3 linked regions of the Caenorhabditis elegans genome follow. The protein of the gene in region 1 interacts with the protein of each later gene in a pairwise test. Each region holds a gene or a part of one and is shown in the gene's direction. Other genes may lie near its edges. The genes, in order: cam-1, rig-3 and sax-3.

The links.
Region 2: the proteins of cam-1 (region 1) and rig-3 interact in a protein complementation assay, tested with the Caenorhabditis elegans proteins (one study listed by BioGRID).
Region 3: the proteins of cam-1 (region 1) and sax-3 interact in a two-hybrid assay, tested with the Caenorhabditis elegans proteins (one study listed by BioGRID).

Annotation. Positions count from the first base shown.
Region 1 is NC_003280.10:9,307,148-9,311,927, reverse strand, and holds the start of cam-1 (Tyrosine-protein kinase receptor cam-1), read left to right. Parts: upstream 1-1,623; 5' UTR 1,624-1,626; coding exon 1,627-1,703; intron 1,704-4,780.
Region 2 is NC_003284.9:6,851,886-6,859,770, forward strand, and holds the start of rig-3 (Neuronal immunoglobulin domain-containing protein rig-3), read left to right. Parts: upstream 1-1,732; 5' UTR 1,733-1,758; coding exon 1,759-1,831; intron 1,832-3,541; exon of another isoform or gene 3,542-3,977; intron 3,978-6,426; coding exon 6,427-6,513; intron 6,514-6,571; coding exon 6,572-6,683; intron 6,684-6,890; coding exon 6,891-7,048; intron 7,049-7,104; coding exon 7,105-7,407; intron 7,408-7,457; coding exon 7,458-7,760; intron 7,761-7,885. UniProt on the Caenorhabditis elegans protein: Cell surface protein which plays a role in the plasticity of cholinergic synapses at neuromuscular junctions and in the polarity of the mechanosensory neuron ALM, possibly by antagonizing Wnt signaling.
Region 3 is NC_003284.9:3,462,734-3,467,703, reverse strand, and holds the start of sax-3 (Protein sax-3), read left to right. Parts: upstream 1-1,776; 5' UTR 1,777-1,818; coding exon of another isoform or gene 1,819-1,848; 5' UTR 1,849-1,861; coding exon 1,862-1,934; intron 1,935-3,838; coding exon 3,839-4,194; intron 4,195-4,738; coding exon 4,739-4,970. UniProt on the Caenorhabditis elegans protein: Required to confine migrating sex myoblasts to the ventral muscle quadrants during their migration through the body and for multiple aspects of sensory, motor, and interneuron axon guidance.

The DNA of each region.
Region 1 (4,780 bases):
AGCATAAACAAATTTTCACACTCAAGGACCCGCTTCTTGAAATTTCTCTCTTCTACATTCGGTGAACACAATTCTGAAGCAGCACGAGCAGGAGCATGCACTTACTTTCAAATTCTATAATAATCATTTTGCGTTTCTCTTTTTATCCGATTTACGCTCTCAGGGATGAATGCTCCAGTGTATCTAGGATTTTGAGAAACATATACAAAATTAGCTCATGCTGAAGGTTTCGAAATATCTACTGCAGATCACACATGTTTTAGGAACATACATTTTGGCCAATTTGTTTATATCTACCGTATCATTTCTAATAAAATTATTGTAATCATTTACACGTTCTGAAAGTTTTTTAATCGACCTGAAAATATTTGTTCACATAGTCGAAAGGTTTGGAAACCTGCCCATGAATTTACGAACGTTCATTGGACTTTCTGGACATGTGACAATTTTTCAATAATTTAATTAGAAGATCCATGATCTCATATTTTGTGCAATATATAAATGTTTTCTCTGAAATTTAGCTGTTCTTCTTCGAATGGGACTCTCCCAGAATTCCCGTTTGAAATTCCATTCAGAACATCAACAGGAAGCATATCATTTGGTTTTCTCACGTTATTTCCGGAGTTTGTTTTGGACCTTGATTTTCAAGTATAAATTGGGATTTGGTTTCTAGTATTAAAATGACAAAGTGAAATATTAGAAAAAATATTTGGAAATAAAATCATGCAATTAAACATTTTAAGAACACCATTTTAAAAATTTTACAGTTGAGTTTTTTGATGGGTGAAACACCTAAATTTTTGACAAACTTTCGTCATAATTCCACTTTCTTACTTTTAAAATAAGTGACAATCTAGTGTATATCCAGCTGTGTCAGGAAACTCAATTATTTTCCAAATTGCTTTATAAGCCTTATTAGACAGGTGTGAAAACCCGTGTATTACTAAAATTGCATGAAAGAATGCTCATCTTTTCTTCTCTAAATCTCTTTTTCATTCAATTTTCTTCCATTTTTCATCACCAACTCTTTCTTCTAACTCATTGCTTCACAACTCTTCGTGCTCCTGCTCATTTCTCAGTCATCCATCACATTTATTTTACATGCAAAATGAGTGGAAAAGCGCATCAAAATGTGTACTACTAATATGAAAATGACTTTTTTCCCGTCTCTTTTTGTACTTCATCCTCAATTCATTTCGATTTGAGAAAAAAAGTTTCATTGGTGGTCCTGAAAGTTGTCATCTAATGAAAAAGACCTGCGTCTCTTCTGGAAATGAATTCAGAATTAGAAGAGAGAAAAGTTGTCGAATTCATGACTTAAGAAAACTGAAATTCTATACTTTTTCTTAAATTTCCTCTCAAATTCTCATGATAAATTCTGCGATTTCTGAAATCTCACCTGCCATTTCTCAACTTTTTTTTTAGCCGGCTTAAGCTTTATACTTCAATTCAACTTTTGCTTCACTGAACTTTATGAATTTCTGTTTTTTTAAAGTAATATTTGAATTACCTTTTTTTATGTTACTGGTGCTGAAATTCTCGATTCGAATAAATTTTTGAACTCTGTATATTACCATCTCGTTCCATTTTTTAATTTTTATACCCTAAATCTTGAATATTCCAGAAATGTCTCCCCGACCAGAAGACGACGATCTCGTGATAGAACCAGCCGACGATGAGGGTCTTCACTACGGAAATGCATCGTGAGTATTACTGTCTTTTGATACGATAATTATAGTAATTAGATACGGGTGGTAGAAACTGTAGCTGCCTATTTTGGCAACAAACGGTTCGGTTATTTACTATCAGATTAAATGAATATGGGTCAAATACAAGTAGTTTATTAGATTGCCTCAAAAACACAAAATGCTTAAATCTAGTGAGTCTATAGATGTACAGTTTGCTGACTACAAAAATTTTTAACGACCTCTAAAATGCGCGTCCACCTCTTGGCGTATAAAATATAAACTTTAAAAGCATTTAATCAGTTCATATAGATTTTCATATATGTTCATATAGATCAGTTCATATAGATTTTCAAAAAATGTATTTAAAATAAACCCAATTACTTCTTGATTTCTGAATAAAACCATATGGTTACCGCCATCCGTTCCCACATTCATCAAGCTCGCCCGATGAGTATTATGCAGTATGTGATCTTCACCGTTAGAATCTTGATTATAAAAATAATGTTCAATGGGAAATTTTTCTGCAATTCTCCCTCCACCCAACTTATTATCTTCATTCAAAATCTTGAAAACTTCCGTCGTGTCGACTTCCCATTTTTCATCTTTTTGACAAGTTTGCAACTTGCGATTAGTTTTAGCGCAATTTTTATTAGATTTTGAGTTAAATTAATTGCTAAAGGGGTCAACTTCGAAAGTGATTTATTTCAAATTTTTGTGAATTTTAAGTAGCTAATACTTTGTCAATATCAAAAATCAAATCGTTATGAAAATAATTTTTGGCTCGATTTTTGCCTAAGTTATTTTAACTTGTTAAAAAAATTGACAAACTTTATATAGTGCTTTTAGGCAAAACGTGGGCAGAAGCTGAAACTCGCTCAATTTTTTCCATTTTTCGAGCAATACTTGGATATGGTCTCAGTCAAGTGTTACAAATTTTTTCGCCAGTTTTGTATTTTTAAGAGAAAAGTTGTGTAATATTTTGGTGCCAAATGCCGATATCTCACATTTTTGATGAATTTTGGTAATTAGATATAACATCACGATCCAAAATTTTCCGTTAGCACCCATTCTTTTGGAAATTTCAATTATTATTTTTTCATCCATATTTTGTACCACTATAGAGCATCAAAATGTCATTCCGGATGCGGAAATTGGGTTAACTGACACAAGCTCATTTCCCTCAAACAAACGGAGTGACATGCCCATATAATGGATGACCATTCTCCCACCTCTTCTGTTCTACATATTGCATAATCCACTTGACACCTATATACATCCACCAACACCCGGACGTCTTCCTCCTCTTTCACCCATACAACGGACCACCCCCACCCTAACCGTGACCATCTCCTCTCTCTCTCTCTTTCCCTAATATCTGACAAAACGGACTGACCTCTGCCTTCTTTCCTACTGTCAGTCATCCCCTGTGTCTCTGCGTCTCATTGAATCAGTATACTATTTCTCGGGGATTCTGTCGAATGGGCCCTCCCCGCCAAACGCGCTCCGCACATTCATCCGACGGATGGACTACTCGATTTATAATTTATTGGCCTTGTAATGATGACACATCGTAAAAAAGAAGTTAATTTATCACTATTTATTAGTTTCTTTTTCTAATTAATTTATAACTTTCGAATCATTTTTGAACGGTTTTTAGTGATTAGAAAACAGTTTGATTCCAATATTAAGGTCTTATTACTAATCTATAATAGGCATTTTAATACTAGCTTGATTTAGTCTGCTTAATCCTAAATATCGTTCAGTCAATCCGCACTTCTCCTCCCCGGAAATGAAATATTCCTAAACTTGAATTAGCTGAATTTATCTTGAATTTTTATTTTGGTTTCTAGGTTTAGTGTACTAAAATCCTGGAGATAGTTTTAAACAATCTTACGGTTTTTAACAAACCTCCATATTTTGCCATTTGGAGAACTATTCTTTAAGTGCGCAAGATTTGTTTCCACAACTTTTAACTAAATTCTAAATTATTTTTATATCTTCAGCCTCACATGTAGAAAAATTTGTCAAAACTTACTTTTTTATATTCGTTATCAAATCTCTTATTTTTCTTCTTCTCTTATCACCGATTCCATTAATTTGACCTGACAGCCGAGCATGCGTTCCACATCTTTTACGTCATCTATCTATTACCATTCCATCTTCTTCCCGTATTCCAAAACTCCCTTCACACCTTTTGTCTATACTTGTTTCCCAGGCTCTGTCAGTATATTTGCAATTGGATCAATATCCTATTACTCCTGAATAGGCTAATGGAACTCGCATTTCGATGCGAATAATAGTCATTTAGGTGGGCTATTATTACTGACTAGTGAGTCTCGTGTTCAGGTTTAGATGAAATTTTGTTTTGAGGCAAGGTTATACCTGATAGAGCATTTTTGATTTCGAAATTATTTTGCTCAGACTGAACTATTTCCATTTCTTTCAATGGGTGGCAAACTGCAGTTAGTCAATTCACAGTCAACTTTCTTCAGGCACAGAAAAATTGAGTGATTTTTTAAATTTTCATATTAACAATTCCACCAATTGCAAGTACACCCAACAACCGAAAGTGATTGTAAGATCAAAACATTGGGTTGAAAAGTGTTTGTATCTATCTCGGTCTCTTCTTCTGTAGTAAATTGTGCCTAACACACTGTTTCAATGTTTGTGATCCACTTTCCAATTCCGTTCTCATCATCATGTTTATCCTTGTCGGTAGTCGGCTTTTACTGGCTCTCTGTAGAGACTGTGATGATCTTTTATAGGAATTTGTGATTTGTTTGGACAACTTGGAAGTCAATTTTTTAAACTTATACTCCCTAGAAAGATTATTTTCAGAAACTTCTTAGTGTAATTTTTCTTATGTTTCTATTATAGTTGCCCAAAAAATTTCAACACCAAAAAACTACATTGCTTGATTCCAAATTTGAAAATTCGAAATACAAGTCACATACACACTCTCAAATTTGGCACCATGAGCCCATTCTCCATCTCTCTGTGACTCTTCGAATTTCCCCATGTTCTTTAGTTCATTGCAACTCCATCAATCTTCATCATTATTTCAACTATTTACGCGCCCCCAAGTCTCGCAC
Region 2 (7,885 bases), on another chromosome or scaffold:
CAACCCTAATTCGATTCCACCTCCAATTTACCTTTTTGCCGTTTTCGATCAAATTGTGGGGGCTCTTTTTATTTGAAAGTCGTAAAATGGCGCGTCCTTGTCGAAAATTGAGATAGCTAATGGTTCCAAATAAAATCAAATGCATGAACCTAGTAGGAAAAATCGTTTTTTTTTTCATCTTCCAAAGAAAAAGTTTAAGATAAACCCACCACTCCAGCAATCCACCTACGCGTTTTTCACCGGAAACTGTCATTTGTTTTTGATGTATGACAGTGCCAGCACTGAACTAAATTCCCATTTGTTTTGTTGTGGTGTTATCTAACCACGTGGCTCTTTCTCTAAATTTTGCGTAGGCTGCAAGATCCGCAATCCCACCAAAAAATGGTTTCTAATGTACTTCATACATATCCCACATGACTCAGTGCTCCGAAACGCCCAGCAACCCCCGCGTTTGTCTTTACAAAAATGAGGCGGAAATGGGAAATTTTCCTGCTATTGCTATGGTAAAATACTTAAGCTGTATTGAGATTTGGGAAATTGAAAGATAAGATGAAAAATCCACTCTGTATAATTAAAAAGGTTTATTTTTTTTGTAATTTTTGTACCGCAAATTTTTTCATTAACTGATTTTTCTTTATTCATTCGATGGCCCAGTTTCAGATCTTCATTATCATGTAGTTTATTCATTCAAACTATTTGTGACATCATGATGGTTGTTTAAAAATAATTTCGAATGAAGAAAGCTTAAACCTATTATAATTTTCTTTTCTATAAAAAATATTGATTTTGTAAAGCGTTTGGCAGTGACAGTACCAAAAAATGTTTTAAAATGATTTAAGAAAATTTTTTATTTTATTTGTATAATACGCGTAAAATGAGTATACTCGTCATTTGTCACGAATCGAGTTCTCAGTTTGCTGTGAATATCTTGTAATAGAAATCGATCTCATAGTGTCACTTTTGAGGCATAACTTTTCAGGTTGTTACAAGTTCATTAACTTGTCAAGACTGGGTCATGTTTTAAAGTGTAACTGTTACCCATGTACCCTAAACTTTGAGACAAACTCCTCAAAACTTGTAACCAGAATCCTATGTAGATGACTCACAAAACCCTGTTTTCAATTTGAACGAATTTCGAAACTGGCCAAAATGTTCCCCTCTTGCTCACCTAATGCTTTTACCATTTAAAAAGGATGGTAACAACACTCTTTCGAAAATGTAGGCGGTCCATTTTCGGTTTCTCATAACCGTCTGGCTCTATCTCCTAGTGCGCGAGGAGAGGGCGGGCGGAGTAGGAATCGGGGGCAGCGCACTCATACACTCTGCCCTTCTCTTTTGCACACACAGAAAAAGATAGATACAGACCAACACTTATTGTTGTCCAGTAAGCTTCCAGAAAACTATTTTCAGAATTACAAACTACATTTTTCTAGAACAGTCAATTGATTTTTTACAAGATTCGAGTATTCTAACATTAGTGAAAGTATTTAGCCACTGCAATTTTCAACTGTAGGTTTCAACTTCCAAAAAAAATTCCTAGCATTTCTAATTGGATGAAAAAAGGCTATCTAGACCCTCCATTATTTACTCATAATTTCATCTCGTCCTCATTTTTAATCCCCTCATTGATCCCATCACAATCCGCCAAAATGTTTTTTAAACACTTTTTTCTTCACCAGCCGTATGTGGTCAACTGCCTAAAAATTTCACAGCTATTTGTCATTCCTTGCAGAAGAACTTCATTCTTCTTTTTCGAAAATGGGACGACTACTTGCCAAGATGCTCTTCCCTCTTGCGATGTGTCTTTTCGTTTCCGCAGTTTCCGCATCAGGTTAGTTTTGTTTTGTTTTCTACTAAATTTTTTTTTCCTGAACCCCACTTACAATAGAAAAGTTCATTCGATCCTTTGGTTCTTGCATAGCATTGAAATTAGCGCTTGGTATATCAATTGCGATAGTTCGAGCATTTCGAGTGGGTGCCCCACTTGAAAAGTTTATCTTTTTCGACGAAATCCGCGGGTGGTGGCGCGATATAAACAAGACGACCAGATGATGATGATGATACAATCTTAGGAACTTCAGAGCCCATCAGTGCTACTGAATCACACCCATACCGCGCAAATGCATTTCTTGGGCAAAAGTTTCAAAACATGTGTGCGCTGTGCTTTTTCCCTTGAGAGACACTTGCCAACTTGCTACTAATAGACCCCTTTTTGTCGTGTCGCATCCACAATGTCTGGTTTTTCGTGAAAAAGAGTTTAGAAGAAGATTTCACATGGGTAAAGGGCATATAAATACATTCTGGGATTGGAGTAAACTTGATCTGACATGAGCTGTTACGATATTAGTATCTTTCTTTTAAAGAAGACCTAATGGTGCTGGGTATTTTGAACGTATTGGCTCAAAATGTGCTTAAATGAAGAATTTCGTAATTAAACTTCTCAAAAAAATTCAATTTTCTTTAGCCGTTAAAATTTCAAAGTAGCTGAAACTCTAAAAATAATACCATCATATAATTTTTGAAAATTTCTTTAGAAATTTGAATTCGGTATTCAATGGCTTGATCACATTTTGTCTATACGTTCAAAATACCCAGAACTGTTTGTCATCATTAAAAAAAAACAAGAACACTTGAGAATAAGGGAACAAGAATCAAAGTGAGAAGTGTGAAGTGAGAACGTTTTCACGCATTTTTTTTGAATCGGAAGTCGTTTCGCTTTCTAAATACCTTCCTATAACAAAAAGATGTTCTCAGCGATTCCCTTCCTACAATATAATGTTGCCTTAGTATCGTTGCGATGCAATTCTGCTCGTTTTCAATAATTTCAATTGTTTGCCATGCTTTTTTGTTTTGTGCGATGAAGAAAAAGGAGTGTGGAATGGAGCCCTTCTCCCACCTTTCCTCTCAATGGCTTAACATTTCGGAGGCAAACAGGCGCAAAGAAATGAAACCTTAGAAATGGCCATTTGCTCATCGTTGTCTTCCTCTTTTTGTCCATTTTTCTTATTGATTGGACGTTTTTTCCCGTGCCTATTGACATTTGAAAAGAAGAGACGGAAGAGTAGGTAACACAGGCGCTCGTTATGTATGTGTGTGAGTGTGTGTGTGTGTGTTCAGATGCTTGCAAGAAGACCTCCAGCTCTCCGAGGTTCATGTATTGTATGCTGGTAGTTTTGTGTATTTTTTGCGCTGATCGATCAGTATGTTGAAATATATCTATCGAGGGTCGTTGCAATTTTCGAGGCAGGTGGCGGAAACACGGATGGGAACAACTATGTACATAGACTTCCTAAATCTGGTAGCAAGTAGTGTAAAAGGGGTCAAGAAAAGAACATTGAATAGCAGGTGCACCACTTTCCATAGTAACTTTTCAATAGGATTGACGACGCGGAAAAAATTTGAAAGTGCTGCCAAGTTTGATATTTCCACCAAAACAGAAAAACGGAGCAGTAGCCACACACTTATTTTCATTTGTAGATATAAAGTTCCGTTTCCTTTTCCAAACAACAGTACATTAATCATAATCCATATTACGCATCACATAACATCGGAATTTTACTACTTACTACTGATTTTTCTCCCGCTACACAGTTATCCAAATGTTTGTCTAACTGCCTACAACCGTTTACCAGGCTTACTCAACACTAGCTCTTCTAATAATGATAAAAGGTTTTGGAAATTTTCGCGTTTGGGAAGTCAAAAGAATTAATGGAAAATATGAGAACCGGCGAAAAAAGAACACCTACTAAATCATGCGTGACACGACAATTAGGGCGGTTTAAAGTCAAAGAGTCAAAAGAATTCTGGAGGGTCCAACAGACCGCGGACACGCTGAGAGGACACCCCCTCCTCATCCTTGTTTCCCTTGTTGTTCAAATTAGAAACCCTGAATTAAACATGAATGGTTTGGAAAGAGAAGGGTTGCTGGAATGGTTAAATTTGTTAGTAATATGGAATACGGGTCAACAAAAGAGAATACATAACTGTTTTGATAAATAACCACCAATGGAAGACGATTGAGTCTATTGTGTGAGAAGCTAGGTAATTAGAGGGCTGTGAATAAATGTGCGGTACAAATAATAAACAAAATAATATACTACTGAACGCTTCTGTATTATGTATCAGTATTTATATCCACTTGTTTTGTTTTTGAGCCCATTATTTCCATCTCTCAATTTTGCGGAGTATCGTCAGTGGATATTTAGCTTTTAGACACTTACGATTGTCAAATTTTGGTAAATTACCGAATTTTTCAAAAACGTATCAACTTCGAGAATCGCTGTAGGTTTGAGCCCCTATAATGTTCAAATAGAAAAATTAGAAGATATTTATGAATATATTAATTAAAAAACACTCCAAAAATGTATGGTTTAACAAAGTTTTCAGTCAAAGTTTTGATGATTTCAAAATTGTGGGGTTTTCAGAAAAATGAACGTGTTACAATTTTTTATTTTTTTATTTTTAAATTTATTTAAAATTTTAAATTATTTTAAATATTTAATTTTTAAATATTTAAAAAACTAAACCGTCATTAACATATGAATGTCGTAGATGACTTTTTTGACTTCACAAATTTGTATAAGGGGTAACCTCTATAATTGCCGAATGGAAATTAAAATAATTACAAAAGATTTTGAGAAATTTTGATGCTTGTTTTTCAGCAATCCAGGTTAGATTTTCAACAATATTCTTACTGGTTTCAAACAAAATTTCATAATTTCCAGGCATAGATCTGAATTTGACATATATTTGATTTTGAACTTTTGTATTAGAATTCAACAATGTGAGCATGATCAAGCAATCAAAGTTTGTCCGTTTCTCCATATTACGCACGGTATGCAATTTCATGTCTTTTTCTTCTTTTCTACCAAACAACACGATTCAACTACAGTGGCCTGAGTTTTTACATGACCATCAAACAGATCGAGTTACATTCATCGCTTGAGAAAGCTTAAGAACACAGTGAGAGAAAAGTACTTGCAGTTTTCTTTGGTTGAACGCAAAGTCCCCTGAGGCAGAGGGACTATGAGACCTTTTGGGAAGTGGAACAACAAAATTCAATTACCTGATACTCTCCAACTTTCTCGTTCTTTTCTTTTTTTTTACCAATGGAACAAACAACATGTAAGGATGTCATTTGCGATACCAAATTGGTTGCTTATAACCAACCACGTTACTATTTTTTAGGTAATTTAATCATGTTTTCTTTTTCATCCAAGAGTGAAAGGAGTAAAAAAAAAATAAGTTGATCATGCGATGTGACACCTTGAATAGTAAATGGCTCCACTATGAATACACTGAATGAATACCATATCGTGAGAAACTGCTGTGAATCGAAAAGGGCTCTTTTTGGTTTTCTTTTTCTTTGGCATCCATAATTTATCATATTCGTCATATGCTCATGGACCATGATCCCAAGACTCCCAATACCCCTCTTTTATTCCCCTTCCTCGGAATATTAGCATATTGGTACTGCTAATGAAGACAAGATGGTAAATGAAATGGGGTAAACGGGAAAAGGAGGGGGGAGGAACAGATTCGAGTGTACATCATTATTACTATTGTTTCTTGTTGGTACACTAACTGCTGGTTCTTATGTGTCCCGTTATGCAAATTTTAGCAGTGTCCAATGACACCTTTTCGGGATGAAGAAAAGCAAATGAGCAACACATTGATGGCGGTAAAAGAGGGATACTTGAAAAGTGTTCGGTGAACAGTAAATAAGAAACCCAAGTTGTGAAATTTGTCATTTGAACAGTTGCGTAAGATAATACAATTTGTTTTGTGGCATTTACACATTTAGATGATGTTTTAACGGATGCTCGAGGAGGCAGGGAAATTTTTTCAAAATGATGGAAGAGTTATGGCCAGTGGGGAAACCCCAGTTTTATGATTCTAAAATGACATAGTAAAAAATTTTAAAAAACTCCCTTACAGGTGTAGATTACTTGGAATACGAGGATTTTTTGAGAAAAAGAAGTCTATTCGTTAGAACGCGAGATAATCGTTTAATTCCATTGTTCGTTGAGACGATTCTTTTTGGTCAGTGCAAATATTTTGCTGTGCTCATTAATGCTTTAAGAAGTTGTGTTTTTATAAATGTTCTTCACTTTGTCCGACGTCTTAAATTTGCGCGATAACTATGTGTCTAACTTGTTTTCTTTTCTATTATTGCCACCCAAATATGAGTCACTTTGTGCAAATAAATGACTAAAAGGCTCGAATAAGATAGGTAATTTCGAATGAATGTAATCGAGTCGAAACAGATGACTCGTGAAAATTTTCACATCGACGAAACTCGATATGTCGGTCCGCCATACTTCCTTAATTATATATTTACCGGAAATGGGTATCCAAAACGCTTCCAGTCTTTCCGACTAACAATGAAAGGGGAAATAAATTGTTTTAATTTTGTTTAAATTTCAGATAGTCCATCTTCCAATGAGGCAAATCCTATCGTCATTTCATCAGAAGCCATGGATTACGACACAAACACAATCACAGTCAGAGAAGGTTTTTATTATATTTAAAAATTTTAACTTTTTTGATATTCTGAAAATTATTATTTCAGGAAAGAAGTTAATGGTTAGTTGTGTATTTGAAAGTGACGAACAAATCCACAAAAGTGATCTTCTTTGGAAACAAGCTAATGGAAACAATATCGACGGAGAATCCAATCCAAGGTTAGAAAACTTTTCAATTTTTTTTTCGACAAATAAAAAATGTGATGAAAGCCGAAAAAAGCAGTGTTATATTTCATTTCTTGAATAGGATATTTCCCTTCCTTTTCTGCCCATTTTTCCTCGAAATTCGATATTCAAAACCAGTTACATAAAAAAAAATCTACACGCAGAAAACGACAAAAAATCCAAAAACAAAGATTTTTTCAGTCTTTTCTCTGTGATTTTGAACGAAAAGGGGAGCAAACATCGCAAAACATCGCTACATTTCTCATCGGTTCACACGAGAGACACCGGACTCTACACGTGCACAGGAAGAACTGCTGGGGGAGAAAATTTCGAGAAGACCATCAAATTGGTCGTACTCCGTAAGAAGTTTTACTTGAACTGAAAATAATTCAAAACAATATTTAAAAATTTACAGCTGCCATTGAATGGAATGATAAAGATACTGTGAAGGGAGCACTTCTTGGAGAGCCCATCACAATTGACTGTGGAGTTAAGGGGCCATCCGGTAAAGAACCAATGATTCAGATGACAAATGGAAATGGTGAGCCACTCGATGAAGAAATCTGGACAATTGCTGGAAATGAAGCCACCATTGATAGCTTGAAAAAAGAGCATGCCGAGTTAACAGTGTCTTGTATTACTATTGAGATGCACCAGGAAACAAGCAAGGAAGAATTCCCAGTTGTTGACAGAAAAGATGTTAACATCGAAGTTTACAGTAAGACATTTGTTTAGTATTTGCACTATTCTTAAAAATGTATTTTGCAGCCCTTCCCGAGTTTGAGACGGAAGAATCTGTGCAGTACACAGTTATTGATAACCACGTCCGTGATGCAATTATCTACTGTAATGTGACACATTCCTTCCCACCAGTTCGTCACTACACTTTTTATCACGGAGACGAGGAGATCAAGATGAGCGATAAATTCAACATTTTTGTGAATGTCGGAGTTTCTCAAGGAGCACATCTCAAAATTCACAATGTCAATGAGAACGATTTGGGCACTTACAAATGCGAAGCTAACAATATCAAAGCAAAATCCTACCATACAATTCATCTTAGAGAAGCCAGTGAGTTTTTTTTTGAATGTTAATGTTCACTACATTCCCTGCCGAACACTTAAATTTGTCTGTATTTTTGAAACTAGAGTTCTGGCCTTCGGATTTTGTTTGAGCGGAGTAAGAGTGCTGAACTT
Region 3 (4,970 bases), on another chromosome or scaffold:
CAAGTGTAACTATTGCTCATTGACAACGTATAGACACAACACGACAGATGTTGTATGACAGGGCCGGGTTTTCCTTCTTCTTCGTCGTCCTCCCGTCCCCCAATCGTTTGCCTCGTTGGTCCATGGGCATAGGTTCGGTCTACAATGGACCTAATGAACGGGTAGTCGAATGTGAGAGGAGGGCGGCCACGAATTGGAATAATTACTTAACCAGGGAAGGGGGCGACGTATAGCCCCGGCTATCCCCTCATATTCCATGCGGTTTCGTTCCGTATCGAGCCGCTTGCATGACATGGACATCCGTCATCGCCGTGCTCTTGACGCGCATTATTTAGGTTATTTATCTGACAATTATGAGCTTTCTGACGACCTTATTGAGTTGAGAGCTTTGATATGTTCTCGAGTACTTTCTTGTCTAGAATAAAGCGTATTGATTTTTCTTATTCGCCCGCCTGTTGCCAGATAGTTTATCTAATCAGTATTATTCAATCGCTGGCACAACATAAATCGATACTTGTCTCACTCCTCTTTGCGCGTTTATCTCCCCGCGCATTGCACACACACCTTGAAGAGGAAATCTGATGTCTAACATTCTGCGTCTACGCCTTCTAGCAATTCGTCTCAACGGTCCTCATTTTAAATGTTCTGCAAATGCATTTGTACTAAATTGTGATTTGTTTCTTTTTGGTTGTTAGAGAAACAATGAAAGCTTTTTGTATGTATAAAAATTTTGAACCATTTGGTGATGTTGAAAATCCGTTTTTCTTTTAATTTCAAGGTATTTTCCTAATTTTGGCCATTTTGCTGTGTTTGAAGTTTTTAATTTCCATGTTCAAATTGTAGCTATAGTTATTTTATTGATACTCTGGCAAAAATCAAATTTCCCAAGTAAAGTAAAACGCCTATATAGACTTGATGAAGTTCTACTTAGATTGAAACTTCAACGGATTCTTACTACAATCTTGCACAACTCCTGCGTAAAATAAAATTTTGCATAGCTTTTCGGGAGTCTTGTGCAGTTTGAAACAACTCCTGCACACTTCCCAATCTGCCACGAACTTAGTACTAAAGATTTTTTATATTTTTTGTCAGAGTAGGTTTCCTTTTTCAAGTTGCCTTTTCACTACACCAAATTTTGATTACGCCTCGCCGCATTTAAGAAAATCCTTTCAAAATCGACTTGTTCATTTTCTTTCATCTTCTATATCCATCCTTCATCCGTCCTTCTGCGCGTCATCTTTAACCAGTCTCACTACGTTTGCCTCCTAACTTTGCGTCCTCATTTTTTTTGTTGCTTGTCTTCCTGCTGGCTACTTTTGCCTCCCGTGCATTTTTTCTTTATTTTTTTTTGTCCAACATCTTCCGTCGCGTAGAAGACTAAATTTGTTCTTCATTCTAGAATGTGGCTCTCTAGTCCAATTTAGGGTCGGCTTCCGTCCGAATCGCTCCACCACCACCACCACCGAAAATGCGCAAAAACGGACGCACAAATCGTCTTCGCGTCTTGAAAACGACGACGACGACGCTCGTCAACTTTTCAATTACTTTGTTGTGTCTTTTCCTTTTTTCCTTCTAAATCTATTCTCCCGAGTGTCACCCTAGCAAAGATGAATGATTACACCCAGGGCCACGCTTTTTTCGCCCTTTTCCATCTTTTTCCCATCACCTATTTTGTCTTGTTTCTCCTTTTATATTCCCTCATTCTCTTTCCGTCATTTTGTCGCCCACTCTTAAAACAACCGCCAATAACTTTGATTACTTTTGTGTTTTTCTTGCAGGTGTCTCCCAACTGGAAATTCAGAACACCGCCACAATTAGATGCAGCCTTTGAAATTGGACACAGATTGAATAAAACAAGATCATGTTCAATCGAAAAACGCTGTTATGCACTATCCTCCTGGTATTGCAAGCAGTAATCCGAAGCTTCTGCGAAGGTTGGTTTTTTTTTTCTAGAAAAAAAATGTTAAGTTAAGAATGTACCAAAAGTGTCAAGTTACATGGTGAAAAAAACGCGTCGCCAACAAGACACGCTATTCGATCCACTCGTGGGTTTTCTTTGAATTCACTTGGAAACTTGGAAAATCCATTAGGTTGGGTTGTATTTCCCATGTCGAAGAAAGCGATTAAAACGAAGATTGACTGAATGCGCGGAAACGAATGCCCTCCATCTTGGAAAAATGCTCTTTACTCGCTGCTTTTTCTACTCTTGCGCTATTAGACATGACTCTTCATTTTGTCAAACACCAAAAGCGGGTTCGCTGCTTGGATTGTGAGCTCGTTTGCCGACTATAGTGTAAAAAGATTCGATTATCGTTTTGGACTGCCATCTGCCCTCTTGGCCGAGCCAAGCCCCGCTTTTGGATGGTAATGTTGAGAAAACAATAGTGAATAGGACGGGGGGAGAATAAATGGTATAGAAAATGAATGAGAGGAGTTAGTCTCATTGAGGCGCGTGTTCTCAAGTATTCACCATTCAAATGCTAATCTCTTAAAACAATAAGTCTTTTTGTACAGCGACCAGAGCCAGTGTAATTTGCAACGAAAATATAAGAAACAGTTGGGAGCGACCACCCGCAGACTCTCGATATTTGTCTTGTTCCACATTTCCACATTTCCACAATGTAATTTGTGCAATGTGCAAGTCATTATTCAATGTGATAAATTGCCCCAACCTGGGTCATTTAAACATTTTAGCACAGTTTTAAGATGCATGCGAATATCCGTAAAATTGAGAATCATTAGCATGCGGTTGATAGAAGATGAGAAGCTATTTGAAATCCCTCCCCAGAGACTAGTAGGTTATTAATGAGCTGTTGGCGCTGTCCAAAATATTCAGTTGCATCTCATGTTTTAGAAAGACAGCCTGCTTTTTAGCAGAAGCTTTCAACACCAATGTGTTGCGAAAGAATGACGGGCGAATTGTGAAATTGGGTGTTGACAGGATGAGATATGTGTACATCTTCACAGCTCTTTGGTTTTGTCTTGCCTATGGATGAAAAGGCGGGCAGGCAGCGTAGTATAATATTTTGAAGGTTAACACGGCCATTAAATTGTAGCCAGAGTACAATACATTGGTTCATGGATAGTTTACTCGCGTGCGCACATTTTGACACTGGCACGCTAGATTGTTGAAAGGTTAAAGAGGTGACAGAAGAGACAGAAGGACAGCCAGGCTAATTAAATTGTTGAATCCGGCAGCTTGTTAGCCACACTTTGGTCTGGTAATTTACTAGTGGAAAACAACAGTGGTCCGTATTTTGAAGTGGAGGAAAACAAGTCGGCCTGCTGAAATTTTTATTAAGTGTGTGCGCAGCAGTGTCAGGGTGAATGCCATAAACAAGTGATTCAAAATGGCTTTTTGATATTTTTTGAAGCAGATGGGAGAAGATGGGTAATCCGTCGGAGGTCAATGGCAATCTTATGTAATAGACCACCGACACCCAATAAACCAGCCGTTAATGTACTATCTAGGTTTTTACCACACTCACACACACACACACACATACATAAATTTTGATAAAATTCCTAGTGAATCATTTTATTACCTACCGTCCGTCAAGGACAATAGTGTCGCACATCTCTACTGAAAAATCGGTGAGGGAAGGTGTTCGTTTCGACACCATAATACAGATGTGACAGTATTGCGCGTGCCGGATCGGTCAGATTGATTTAATGCACTTGGACAAGTTTCCTTTCTTATTCACATTGTCAAGATGGATAAAATCAAAGTGTTGATGTATGTGGAAATAAGATGAATGGGAGATGAGGAAAGTAAAAAAAATTCTAACAGGGGAATGATGTTGTTTTGAACCTTTTCAAATCTTGAATATAATTTCAGATGCCTCAAATCTCGCTCCCGTGATAATCGAACATCCCATCGATGTGGTGGTATCTAGGGGATCGCCAGCAACCCTCAACTGTGGTGCAAAGCCATCTACCGCCAAAATCACATGGTACAAGGATGGACAGCCCGTAATCACGAATAAGGAGCAAGTGAACAGCCACCGGATTGTTCTCGACACGGGATCCCTGTTTCTTCTGAAAGTGAATAGTGGAAAAAACGGAAAAGACAGCGATGCGGGAGCGTACTATTGTGTGGCCAGCAACGAGCACGGAGAAGTGAAGTCGAACGAAGGATCGTTAAAATTGGCGATGCTTCGCGAAGACTTTCGAGTTCGGCCAAGAACAGTTCAGGTAAAGTTTAATACTTTGAATAATATTACGTATTTTTTCACTTAATCCTGCACTTTTCTACTTTGACAGTTTACCTTATAATCTCTATTACTGCGGCATTTCCATGGCTCAACCCTGACAGTTCGTATCTCGGTCAAATTGGATTTTTTGTAAAAATTTTAACTGAGCACAGTTTTGTTAAATTTCTCTGTAAATTTATTGTTTTTGAACTTCTTAATATCTTCAAAAGCATTCGAGACATATGCTGTCAGTTAAACAGTTGGGGTGCCGCACAAATAGAGAATAAAACGGCATATTCTGAGTCAGTTCAAATATGTCACCTCATTTTTTAGTGTTAAACTACAGAAAAAAAAAATTATCACTATTTTGTCAGTTGAAAATTTTTGGTAACCCCGAAAAACCGAAGATTTGGACCATCAATGTTACAAAAAACTTCATTCGTCAGTTTTTCAAAAACTGTAAACCGCACTGCACAATTTGTCAACGCGATTTTTAGACCATTAAAAAATAATTATTCACAGAAGCGTTACTCAATTGTTTTCAGGCTCTTGGTGGAGAGATGGCCGTTCTGGAATGCAGTCCGCCACGTGGATTCCCGGAGCCGGTTGTGAGCTGGCGGAAAGACGACAAAGAGCTCCGAATTCAAGACATGCCACGATACACTCTACACTCTGACGGAAACCTCATCATTGATCCGGTCGATCGAAGCGATTCTGGTACTTATCAGTGTGTTGCCAACAACATGGTCGGAGAACGGGTGTCCAATCCCGCAAGAT